Drosophila melanogaster: one gene and its partner. The protein of the gene in region 1 interacts with the protein of each later gene in a pairwise test. Each region holds a gene or a part of one and is shown in the gene's direction. Other genes may lie near its edges.

Evidence for each region.
Region 2: the proteins of Rexo5 (region 1) and Graf interact in a two-hybrid assay, tested with the Drosophila melanogaster proteins (one large-scale study listed by BioGRID).

Annotation. Positions count from the first base shown.
Region 1 is NT_037436.4:6,601,833-6,609,271, forward strand, and holds Rexo5 (RNA exonuclease 5), read left to right. Parts: upstream 1-1,851; 5' UTR 1,852-2,061; intron 2,062-2,130; 5' UTR 2,131-2,352; intron 2,353-2,533; exon of another isoform or gene 2,534-2,845; coding exon of another isoform or gene 2,846-3,370; intron 3,371-3,442; coding exon of another isoform or gene 3,443-3,744; intron 3,745-3,800; coding exon of another isoform or gene 3,801-4,077; exon of another isoform or gene 4,078-4,200; intron 4,201-4,346; exon of another isoform or gene 4,347-4,462; 5' UTR 4,463-4,484; coding exon 4,485-5,246; intron 5,247-5,302; coding exon 5,303-6,586; 3' UTR 6,587-6,907; downstream 6,908-7,439. Other genes in the region: ndl (nudel), read right to left, coding at 1-625, 682-825, 1,248-1,266; zpg (zero population growth), read right to left, coding at 2,846-3,370, 3,443-3,744, 3,801-4,077.
Region 2 is NC_004354.4:15,757,627-15,762,517, reverse strand, and holds the start of Graf (GTPase regulator associated with FAK), read left to right. Parts: upstream 1-1,868; 5' UTR 1,869-2,278; intron 2,279-2,323; exon of another isoform or gene 2,324-2,393; intron 2,394-4,200; 5' UTR 4,201-4,484; coding exon 4,485-4,662; intron 4,663-4,750; coding exon of another isoform or gene 4,751-4,891. Other genes in the region: mRpL3 (mitochondrial ribosomal protein L3), read right to left, coding at 1-343, 397-920, 982-1,087, 1,147-1,184; CG8260 (uncharacterized protein), read right to left, coding at 4,751-4,891. UniProt on the Drosophila melanogaster protein: GTPase-activating protein for Rho family proteins. Essential component of the CLIC (clathrin-independent carrier)/GEEC (GPI-anchored protein-enriched early endocytic compartment) endocytic pathway.

The DNA of each region.
Region 1 (7,439 bases):
CAGCTGATCCTTGAAGGCTTAATCTTAGTCCTCGCTGGCTTTTCAGTGGCATGTACCGCAACCGTTGTGGCCTCTGCAGTTGTCACCTGAATCAGGTCGGCCGGTGAAAAAGTACCCTTCTGTTCATGGGACTCCATGCTGCTTGATTCCAATTTCGGCTGCTGCTCCCGCATAATGGCCTTCATCTTCTCCATTTTCTCGGTCACCTCCTTTGCCATTTTGTACATGCGCAGAAAGGCGGACATGCAATCCTGCGGAGTATGCTTTTTGCAACGCACAAACTCATGCTCCAACTGGCTTAGGGCTTCTCTTGCCCTTTTACTTCGCAGCTTGGTGTACAGGTGCTGCATATTGGCCTCCATCCGGACGGGATCCAACAGATCCAACCCATGCAAATCACGCCGCATGCGGTGTTTCTTGTTCAACCGGAACTTAACCAGCATTTGCCGCATATGCTTCCTTCTCCTGTTTTTGCTATCCTCCATATCCTTGTTCATATCCTCGTCGAGCAATTTGAAGTGCAAAGTTTGAGGACTCACAATCAGGGCAGACTGATCCTCCTCAAAGGGCTGGTTGAAAAGCACCTGGTGCCTGGCATTCAGCGCTGCAATCTGCTGCACTTGATCTTTAAGTAATTTATTAGTTATTATTACTCTTATTATAACTCGTTAACGAACTTACCAATTTTCTCCACCACTAGCCCGTGGTAAACCAGAGAAAATAGCAACACGATGATGACCAGAATCGAGATGGCCACGATCCGTTTGCCGAATCCAATGCTCCACCAACGTCGCGGATGCCGAAGCAGCCTGGTGGCCTCCATCTCTAAAGAATTCCGTTTAAGAAGATTAGTGTAACGAAATTTCTTAACCAAGTTCAATTATGGATTTTTTGTAAGCCAATCGCTTAAGTATTAAACTGTTTACATACTTGTATGTTTATTGTCTTGTTCGCAGTTTTTATAAAAACTCAGTCTACATACTTTTATTTTCAACATACATAATTAAACACTTTTTATTATTTATTGTGGTCAGCACTTTCTGGCCTGTTCAGCACTTTTGCAATAATTTTTATAATAATGCTGATCCAAGTTCAAAATAAAATGGAACTTTCGACCATTTTATGGAATTCACTTTCTGGCTTAAAATGTTCACAGACGTGGGTGAAAATATTAATTGTTTTTGGCCTATTTTTTTTTTTGCCAACGAGTACGGAAGTTATTTTCAAGATTTCAAAGTAACACATACCATCCATGTTGTAATTCATTATTCATAAATTGATTTATCTTCTGGATTTTTCACTTAAGCTCTGGACATTTTTAACACATAAGCTTTTACGCCACAAAATCGCTGATTATTTCTTTCAATTATATGTTAAGCACTTTGTTAAATTGGCCGGGAAACAAGGAGCCTCAGGTTACAGCGATTCACTCAAACAAAAATCCACAAAAAGCAATCGCAAAGCAATTTGATATGCACGATAATCCAGAACGGTAATAATCACTACGATGACGACTTCCGCGCGATCCGGCCGGTAAAGAGCAACTGAATCCGACGGTGGTGAATGCGCCGCTTATAAGGGCTTCCGGAAAGTGGATCAGCGGGCAAACGACCCACATCCAGCGGCCACTGCTGCACTTTTCTGCTACGTTTCGAAGTTTATGGTTTTTTGGTTAATGAAAAGCGGCCCGGCAACTGCGGAGGTCAGCTGAAATGGCCGACGAAAAGTGCAAGTTGAAGGGGATTTTGGAATGGCAGAGCAACGAACCAGCCGCCCACCACCTATGAAACCAGAACTGTAAGCTAAGCAGGCCCAGCATTAATTCTCAACCCTGTGTCAGAAGTTTCCAAATCAGTTCTTTCCCTTTTTTTTTTTACAAATTTCGTAAAGCGCATAAAAATAAAAACATTTTTCCACACATCAAAGCTTTGACCACGAACACTATTTACCGAAAAATATAAATAAAAAACAAAAAGAAACGGTAGTAAAACAGAAAACACATGCATTCTACTTAGAAAATCAAATAAAATTGTTTATCAAAATTTTACCATCAGACAGAATGTAAGTAGCAGCAGCGCATGAAACGTGCAGGAATCGAGTGTCTTAGCCAGTTTTCCCATGAACCCACAGAACTTCATTAACAAAAATTGATGCGCAAGCAAAGAAAGTATATGCCCTCAAGATCCAGCCAGTCATTAGTCATTGGAGGAACCAGAAAACAAACACAAACACAAGGACCTTCCCACGGCATGCGCATAGAGTTCCTTAACATATTAACCTTTATCTCGAGATAACAAACATGATGTGGACCAGAACGACAATCGCACTGCGCAGAATTGCCAGGTCGCAAAGGTAAGTAACAAATAAACTCATTTCATTCAAAAAGGTATTAGTTACTCATACTCATACACCACCTTGAACGACTAATTATTGTGTAGGTGATATGTAGGTAAATGATGGTGATGAAAGATTAATAACAATAGTGGCCAGTTAACAATCAATAAACTGTGCATGAAAATAGCTTATGTTCTTTACACTTTCAACTTTTATTAAAGATAAATTCAGTTTTCGATCTATATCAAGCCAATTAAGGATTCAAATGGTCAAGAATATTTATGATGATTAAGAAATATGAGAATTTACTGAACAAGTGAAAATGGCACATTATTCTTAGCACAAAAATTATAATAGTTCGTTATATCTTCGATAATATGCACATATCGATGTGAAAAAATTAATGTATGTTATTCTTGTTTGTGTCATCTTAGTCTTCTACTCTAGATGATTCAAATGATAATACCTATTTCAGTATATTGAGATTAAACTTGGCGTCATCGCTGAGATCTTAGATCTTGTCCGCTCCTGGCGGTATTTTGATCAAGGACTGAGCTTCGTACAGCTCCTCCAGCAACTTACGGAATAGCTCGGGGCTGATGTTGTTGCCCACGCGCATCAGCACGAACCAGTCGCCAAAACTGCAATTGCGCAATGCCACCTGCAAGTGCTTCTTGGGCATGAAACGTGCCCTGGCACGAAGCAACTGAAGACGCATTCCGGGATACAAAACGGTGGCCAGGCGGTACAGAAACTTGAGGGAAATGAGCATAGCCACTAGTATAAACCATATCCACAGGAAGGCGAAGATTTTCTCGTTCAGTATATTCAGGGGCAGCAGGCAAAGGTAGTCGTATATGTTGGAAGAACCGCTGGGGCCGCCCTTGTACATCTCGCACTTGGCACACTTGGGGAAGACTGCCATGGTTATAATGTTCCACTGGTTATAGTCGCCATTGTAAAGGGACAGCAAGGCATTACGGTAGCGGCCCCAAAAACCTCCGAAAAATACGTCCAACAGAAGGAAGTTTAGAATCTGCGGGGTTGCAAATAATTACAATTTTTAGTAATATCGTAGATTATTGAATTACTAGTTTTGGTCACTCACACTGATGCTCAAATTGAGTATTTCGCAGAAGACGTAGCTAACGAAGTAGCGGAAGTGGGTCTCTTTGTAATCGCTGGAGAAGTAGTTGACTAGTACGCGCAAATGGGTCCTGCTCTTGTCCTTGCAAACGGCCATCTTGTGGAAATCATCGCACAAATGCTTCAGCCGACCGCCCTCCCAAATCTTCCAGAGAAATGCTGGCATATAAAACACAAACGACTCGAGCAGCAATACCAGCACGACCCACTGATAGTAGGTTATGTAGTTACGATTTTCCGGGGGCACTACCTTACTAACCGCATCTGAAATGAAGAATCCGTGCTGAACATGGGAATCTTTGAAGCATTTCCAAACTCACCTGGTCGGCACTGTGCAGCTCCATTCCTTAGGGGCGTCACAGTCACATTGTCGCTCACATAGGCCCCGTAGATCCAACAAAAGGCGTGCACGTAGTCCATATCCTTGTCCCCAAAACACTGGATGGGATCGCCGAAATATTGTTTCGAGGAAAGCAAAAATGTGCAGGCCAAAAGCAGGGCCACTGTGACTTTGGAGTGCAGCGTGAAAATAGCATCGTAGATGTGCACCGACTTGAACTGCAGATACTTGGAGAGCGGTTTAACAGCTGCGTACATGATGGCGTATTTATTTTATTTAATTTCGGGCGTAAAACAAAAATTTTGGGGCGGTTGTAAAGTTTGACGATTTAACTTGTACCAAAAGCACGCGGCATCATAACGGTTGATGTATACTATGGTTGTCTCTTTCTTACTCACGCCTGGGAACCTTACGTACAAACCGCAATTTCCAGCAGCCAGCTTTTGGCAGGCACTGATTTCGGCTGGAAAGAAGTCAGATTTGACGAGAAAATAGCGGGACTGCCAGCTCTGTTGGGGCTAAAAACTGTTTTTACCATCTGGTAACACTAGCACGTTGCACATGTTAAATCTTCGTGTTGACAAATTGAAATCTACTGAAAATCGAGTTAATTTAATAAAAGTTGCGTATTTTCGCCTGCAGCTTGAACGGTAAGCGCTCCAGGATGAAGGAACATATGTCCACCAAGCAGCACGAGCGCAACGAGAAGAAGAAAAAGAAGCTGGCGGCCCTGGCGAACCTGATGGAGCTCAACGATCGCGATCGATTGCACGAGGCAGAGTTGGCCAAAAAACGCGATGCAGAGGTCGAAGTGGAGGAGAAGTCAACAGCGAAGGCGGAGGACGGGGACGACGGTTTCATCGTGGTGGGCAGCAAACGCAAGCCGCGAAACCGTCGTCAAAACAACGAGCTGGAGGCGGATTCACAGACTGCCCCAGGAACATCAGATCCTGAAGAGCCGGTGAACAAGAAAATCCGCAATTACGATGCTGGTGGAGATAGCCTGCCGCTGGAGATTGGCTCGCTATCCGAGGATCAGTACAATCAGTTGTCGGCAGAGTTGAGGCGTCGCAAACGGGAGCTGGAGAACGTACCGGCCTTGCGACTGCGTGAGATGGGTCAGCGCGCCTCCCTGGAGACTCCGCAAGATGCTCGTACGCCCATCTTTCTAACCGACATCCAGAACCTGTTGATGTGCGCTCTCATTGGCCAGAAGAGCCCCTGCCGTCCGGATCGCTGGTGCAGCGTGGAGAAGTGGCTCAGTCTGTCGCACAGTGTGGTGGTCATTCTGGAGGGACTATCTCTCTACCACTATCTGTCTAACGAGACCCAGTTTGAGGCCACCAACAGGATATTCAGCACGAAGCTGGAGATGATACTTCCACCGCAGGAGGAGGGCCAGAAGATTATCGACGAGATAGCCAAGGTAGGGCTTCGTTGAAACTGTCTGTTTGCCTAATAATATATCCCTTGCTCTTGCAGATTCCTCTCACCAATGCGCAGGCACGCAGACTGATAGACGAGCACGGCTCCCTGGAGTCGGCTGTGGAGCTGAACAAAGATCCAACTTTGTTTGTAAAGACAATCTTTCCAATCGAAAGCTCTAAATCTGAGTCGGATGACATGCATGAGGATGACAAGTTCCCACGCACTAAGCTCCTGCTGTCAGCGCTGCAAATGGTCGACGAGGGCTATCCTATTCCATTGCAGGGCGAGCTACACACTCGTTTCCAAAACTTTAAGTTTACCAAGGATCTGTATGCACCGGTAACCAATCGCAGTCCTATGTTCGGCGTTGATTGTGAAATGTGTCACACGGAGGCGGGTTGTAACGAGCTAACCCGAATCTCTATTGTCAACGAAAATTACGAGACCGTTTATGAAACGCTAGTGTTGCCAAATAACCGGATCACCGACTATCTAACCCAATATTCGGGCATAACCGCAGAAATTATGGAGCAAGTGACCAAGAGGCTGGATGTTGTGCAAAAGGAAGTGTCCGAACTGCTGCCTCCAGATGCCATTCTGGTGGGGCAATCTCTAAATTCTGACTTGAACGCCATGAAAATGATGCACCCGTATGTAATTGACACCAGCGTGTGCTTTAACACATCTGGGGTGCGACGACGCAAGACCAAGCTGAAGGATCTGGCCAAAACCTTTTTACAGGAAATTATCCAGGAGAACATCGATGGTCACGATTCCATTGAGGATTCGCGAGCCACGCTGAAGCTCGTCAAGAAGAAGCTGGCAAACAGCATCGAGTTCGGAGACCAGATCCTCACGCAGCACAAGCAATTACAGGAGTTGGCGAACGCATCCAGCGGTGATACCATATCCAACAATCTGTTTGCACATGTGGCAAAGCGGGATAAGCGCACGGCCATTGTCACGGTCGGCGAGCTGCAGCCCCGTCTAAAGGAAGTGATCGAAAAGGCGGGAGAGGCAGCGCCCAAGGATCAAAGTACGTCGGTGCATGTCCACGAGGTATCTACGGCCAAGGAAGCCATTCGGAAGGTCAATGAAGTTGCACTGGAAAATGCCCTGACAATTGCCAACCTCCGCGTGCCAGAGCAGGACTTTATATTGGACAGTGCACAGCGGAGTGTTGCCAAACTGGACAAGACCATTGATCGCCTGTGGAAGTCAGTTGCGCACAACGGACTCTTCCTCGTCATCATGGGCGGATCCACAGAGTGCTCGAAGGGTGTAGCCAAAATAGCCATCAAGCGACTAAACGGATCGAATCAGACTATGGAAAGTTAGGGAGCTTTTAAGAACCTTACTTATGCTAACCGCCTCCATGGATACCCGCTCCCACTAAGGTCCTGAGTGTTGAAATCCAGCAGATAAATCAAATTTACCGTATCACACTGAAGACATGACCAACAGTTGCATTACCATACACCTGGGAAATGTCCTGCATGCATGAGTGCATCGATGAAAAATTGTAAAATTAAAAACAAATTCGATCAATAACGAATAATAAAATGTACATTTAATTTTTTTCACAAAATTCCATTGGCTTCTGCATAGTTGTATTAAATTAAATGAGCGGTAAAAATTATTATGGATTATTGTATAAAGAAAAAACTATACAAAAAACTAATTATTATTGATTCCATTTTAAAATTTTCTGAAAGGGTCAACATAATACATGGTTTATTGAACCGTAAAAACTGTTCGTGTCCGCAGGCAATTAGAAATAATTCCAGTATCCGTCCGATACATTTTCCGGATGGAGCATTCCAAACTGGCTGCTTGAATTTGACCCAGTTTCGTCTGGTTTGCATTGCCCGATATATGTGGCTGGTGGTGCTCGCTGGCCAGGCGGCTGTGTTGATAAGAGCCACAAATTTCCTACCTCCCTCAATGTGGTGCTCCGTTGTCTAGGGCCCGGCCCGAAAGCCCGAACTGGGCCTCCTCCCTAGAAGCGCCCACGCACTCTCGCTCTCCCTGGCTTTTTCATTTCCCTCTCTGTCGCTTTGGAAAGGGAAAGTCCCCGCAGCGGAGTATCTGTGTCTTATCACACGCTCGAAAATGTTGCGTCTTTTTTGGCTGAGTACTCATACGACCTGTAGGTCGTGCTCAAAGTTTCTATGCGCATGTCCCGCCGCAA
Region 2 (4,891 bases), on another chromosome or scaffold:
CGGCTCGCCGTAAAACGTTGGGAACGGTGGGGCTTCCTTATTCTTTCGCGTTGGCAAGATGGTATCGTATATGTAGACCAGACCGCCGGTGGGGCCGGCCACCGAGCTCCCTTGCACCCACATAACATTATATTTGGTGTTAATGCGCCACACGCGCAGACCCTTGATGATGCGCCACCGGTTTCCCATGTGTCCCGGCATCTTTGTGCCTGGCCAGACGCGACCCTTCTCGCCACCACCGCCAATGTTGCCGGCACGTCGATGAGTTTTCGTCACACCGTGCGATGCTGGCATGCCCTTAAATCCGTGTCGCTTGACAACACCTTGGAAGCCATGGTCAACTCTGCAAAATATAAGTAGAGTACGTATAACCAGCGCTTAGACGTATGTACTTACGTTTTGCCGCGAACATCGACGAAGTCACCAACGCGAAAGTGGTTGACATTTAGTGGAGTGCCTGGCGCCAGTTGGGCTTCTGGAGAGACGATGAATCGGGCCAGGTTCTTCTTGGGGAGCACACCCGAGTTGCGGAATATGCCCGCGTACTCTTTGGTCAACAGAGCTGGGTTCGTGGTCTCGGAGCCAACGAGAATGCAGCCGCGCTTGTGCAGGTTGGCTACCGTGGGAACTTGGGCAGGTAAATACTCTTCCGGGGGAATGTATTTAATGACATGATTGTCGACGATTTGCAGCAGCGTGGTGCGAATCCGCTCGCCATTCTTTAGCCACAGCGGGTACTGGCCAATTTTGCGCGCTATAACGCCGCATCTTCGCAAATTCGGAGTCCACACAGCCTCATTGGCGGTTGGGCCCGCGGTCTTGACCAAACTATCCTTAATAACTGCCGGAACGCCAAAGTTATTGGTGCCCACTTCGTTGACGAACTGCTTGTTCTCCGCCGTCATCAAATCGTTGTATTTCTGTTGCAATAAAACGCAAATGAGTAGTTTGTTTATAGATAAAAAGATATATGTCACATACTGTAATTTCCTTGCGCAGAAACCATTGGGGATTCCGCAGTCGAGGTCTGCTCAAATGGCCCTTATCGCGCACCTGCGTAACCAAAACACTGCTATTTCCACTGAGCCTGAATGGAGAAACCAGAATTTACTAAATGGCCACTATAGCAACGATAAGTGTACCCACCGGAGACCCAGTAATTGATTAATAACGCTCCGCATCATACTTATATAATATAATTTAACAAAGCATAAAAGCGAGCCGGTGCAGAATAACCAAAAGAGCTGTCAAAACATCGGCCACAGTATCGATATCAGCGATATTTGGGGCACGGCTGCTTGACCATCGATTATTTCTGGTCAATTTCGATTCCACATGCTCTTATAATTGGAGTAGTGGAAACATGATGTGATTATTATCGCAACTATGTAAATCAGAAATTGTAGTTTTTAATAAATTTGTAACATTTGTAATACATTTTGGTAATGAATTCACCCCTCTCTATGTAACGACGCGCAATGTTGTTCATTGACAAAATAGATGATTCACAATTCGTGCTAAGCTATGCATGCTGCAAACTTTAGACGCTTAATAAACATTTGATATCTATCAAAGAAGTTTTAGCGCTTTCATTTTGTTTCCCAATCATTTCTGTCAATTAAAGTTAGAGAATGGGAGAGAGTAATGCGTTGAAATGCGAACAAGTAAGTAACAGGTGGTTGTTGGAACGCATGAGAAGTAGATGGCACGGCAAAAGCTTATGGACACTCCTGCAAATGTTAGTGTCGCGGTGGAGACAGGGTATTTGATGCGCTTAACAGCACAGTTAATATACTTAACAGCACGTTCAGATAACTTGTGTATTTTTATCAGACCTACATTAATTTTTTTTTCTAATCGGAGATTTAACAGTCAAAGTAATATATATATATTGTGGTGCATTTAGAATACAATGAAACGAAATATGCAATTGATGCTGAATAATATCGCGTAATTGATGCGAAACGCGCGACACGACACGGCCAATTTGCGTTCTTCGATCAGAGCAACATTAGATATTGGGAAATTACTCATACACTAATGTTTACTCTGTGAGTAATTTTAACACGGGCACAAATGTGTGTGCGGTTGCGGTACGCGAAAAACTACCGACGGTTGCCTTTCGTAACTAAGAGCATTTATTTTTGTATAAGTGAATTCCAATGGGCTAAAGTCATATGAAAAGCGTCTAAACATGAGCCCCTCGACGATTCGTTTATAAGGATTTGATTTATTTATTTATTTGTGATTCCATTGCATTGCGTATGTATGTGTGCTGGTGTGTATCTACGTATATGTATGCTGATATATATATATTATTTAGTTTTTTAAACAACTACATGCATGCGAAATAAACAAAGGATTTGGTGCTGCAGTTGAATTTCATCCCAGGGGTATGTCCGATATCGAAATTATGGTGTTAGTGGCCTCGCAACCTGTTTTAAGATCGAATGTTTACATATGTACATCGAAATTTAACAAGTTTATGCAAAAAAAAAGAGGAAACGATAAAAACTCTCGCCCACCCCTCCCTTCAACACATTCTTATGCACATAGTGTTGTAAAGTGCGCATATGAGTTATTTATCAGTAAGCGAACATAAACTAAAGTTATTTTTAAATAACAAATGTACACAACATACAAATACAGGCGGTGCACATCTGTATGTATGCAAGTATGCAAGTATGCCTGTACATACCTAGCTTCATGCAACAATTTTAAGCGGGCTTAACTGTAAAAAAAAACCGATAAGATAATTTAAAACGGAATGTTTAACTGTTTTTTAAGCCCCAAAAATCCACCATAAGTTCGTATTCAACAGGTATTAAGGTATATCTAGCGAAAATACATAGCAACAGCTGTGTTTTTACTCGTTGCGCATTCCATCAGTGGAAACTCGCCAACAAAATTTCCCATGATCTTGAATTGCACTATCTGAACTCGGCTTTAAATAAATACATATATATTGCATTATTTCAATGCCTAACATTTTCATATATATAACTATCTCTTAGGCTTATAAAGTTATCAAGGATTTTTAAAGTTGTTGTAGTCAAAGAAAGTGAAAACAGGTGATTAACTGGTTATCAGTAATCAATGGTCCTATGAGCCGGATAAAAGTACTTTGCGAATTTGAATGGAAAGACTATTATTGCGTAAAGGGGATATGTTTTGTGAATTGTTTTAGTTAGGGTGTATATACATTTATCTGCGTCATTGTTTCCTTGATAACTTGGGCCTGGAATCCACTAAAATTTGTTTAAAATATATATTGATTAGGCGATTATTTCTGAGAATTCTCCGTGCCTGCGCCTATCTATCTTAAGATCTGATAAGAAAAACATATACAACAATGACAATGTAGTAAACAGGCGTCTGTAAGCAACTTTATGATTTAAATACACCCATAAATAAATGGCATTCAAAGTGTATTTTCCAAGTGGCTGACTTTCGCAATTTTTATTGAACATGATTTTCAATTGCAAAGTCGGTTTTGCATTTATGTAATGGCGACGACTTATCAGCCTGTGGCTGGTTTCACTGTAATAGGAAAGTGTTCGCAAGTGTATTTAAACTTGTTTTTGGTAAACGCTTGTACATATGTATATGTTTGCAAAAGATAAGAAATTTACTAGAGTGTGGGTCTTGCTCGGTACACAGACGATAAGAAATTAACAATAGTCCGTTCTTGATGAAAGTTAGTCGTTGACTGCCCACTTTTTATCGTGGCACTGTGTTTCAATTTATCTTTTTATATAATCTCATCAGTTTGCTTTTCGGATCTGCTCTTATTTTCGGAATTTCACAGTTTAAAGTTTATCGAATGTGGGGAACCGACCTTAAATCAAAATCACAATTGCCAGAGCTCTGCGCGATCAAAACGAATAAATATAATACATAATGGACTTCACTTGCTAATTATTGGTCAATTTAGGCTATAAATTCATATTCCGGTGATTGCGATGTACTCAAAATATCGTTTTTAAACCACACAAAGCAATGGGTTCTCTAAAAGAGAGAATGCAAGTTCTTTAATACAGAGTTGATAAGAATCGAGTGAATCATGTTTCTTCATGCTAGAACAAAATATTTTCTCAAAGTAACTTAGCGTATTCTTGGCCGCTCAGCCGCAATGCAAGTTTTGCGCAATTAACTCTACTTGTTGTTTAAAAAGATATCTTATATCAGTTGTCTTTGCAGGAAGGATTACCAATATGCATAATCCACCAACTGATAAACAGTATTTGCATTGAATAGTAAATATATAAAAGGAGCGCAATTCCAGCTGTAAATGTTGCAAACACCGCAGTTTTCTCGAAACTCAACCGACAAATCTACACAATATATCACAATATATCAGTCACTGCGAATGCACTTAGCTCTGTGGAAAGCAACATCGAAAGAACCTAAATAAAACTGAAACTTAAACTGAAAATCACAGCAAATATTCAAATTCAATATTATTAAAAGCAAACGCAAACATCATGGGCGGCGGCAAAAATGTACGCCGCGGCTTGGAGCCTCTGGAGTTCGAAGAATGCATCGTCGACAGTCCGGACTTTCGCGAAAATTTAAATCGACATGAAAAGGAACTGGACCACACTAGTCATCAAATAAAACGAATTATCAAAGAGGTCAAAGATCTTATGAGTGCGGCAAAGAGTAAGTAGTACAATCCATTTACCGGAGGGCGTAAAACGTGTGTCTGTTTATTAAAGTATACAAAAAATGATTTATAAATAATGCCTATTCACATATGCTTCCACATATCTTCTTGTCCTTCTGATTCCCGATCCCTGGTATGCTTGAAACACGTATTGAATTCGGGTCCAATCGACAGGCGTTTTAGGTACTCTTGATATTCGTTTAGCGTTATGAAACGCATATTTGG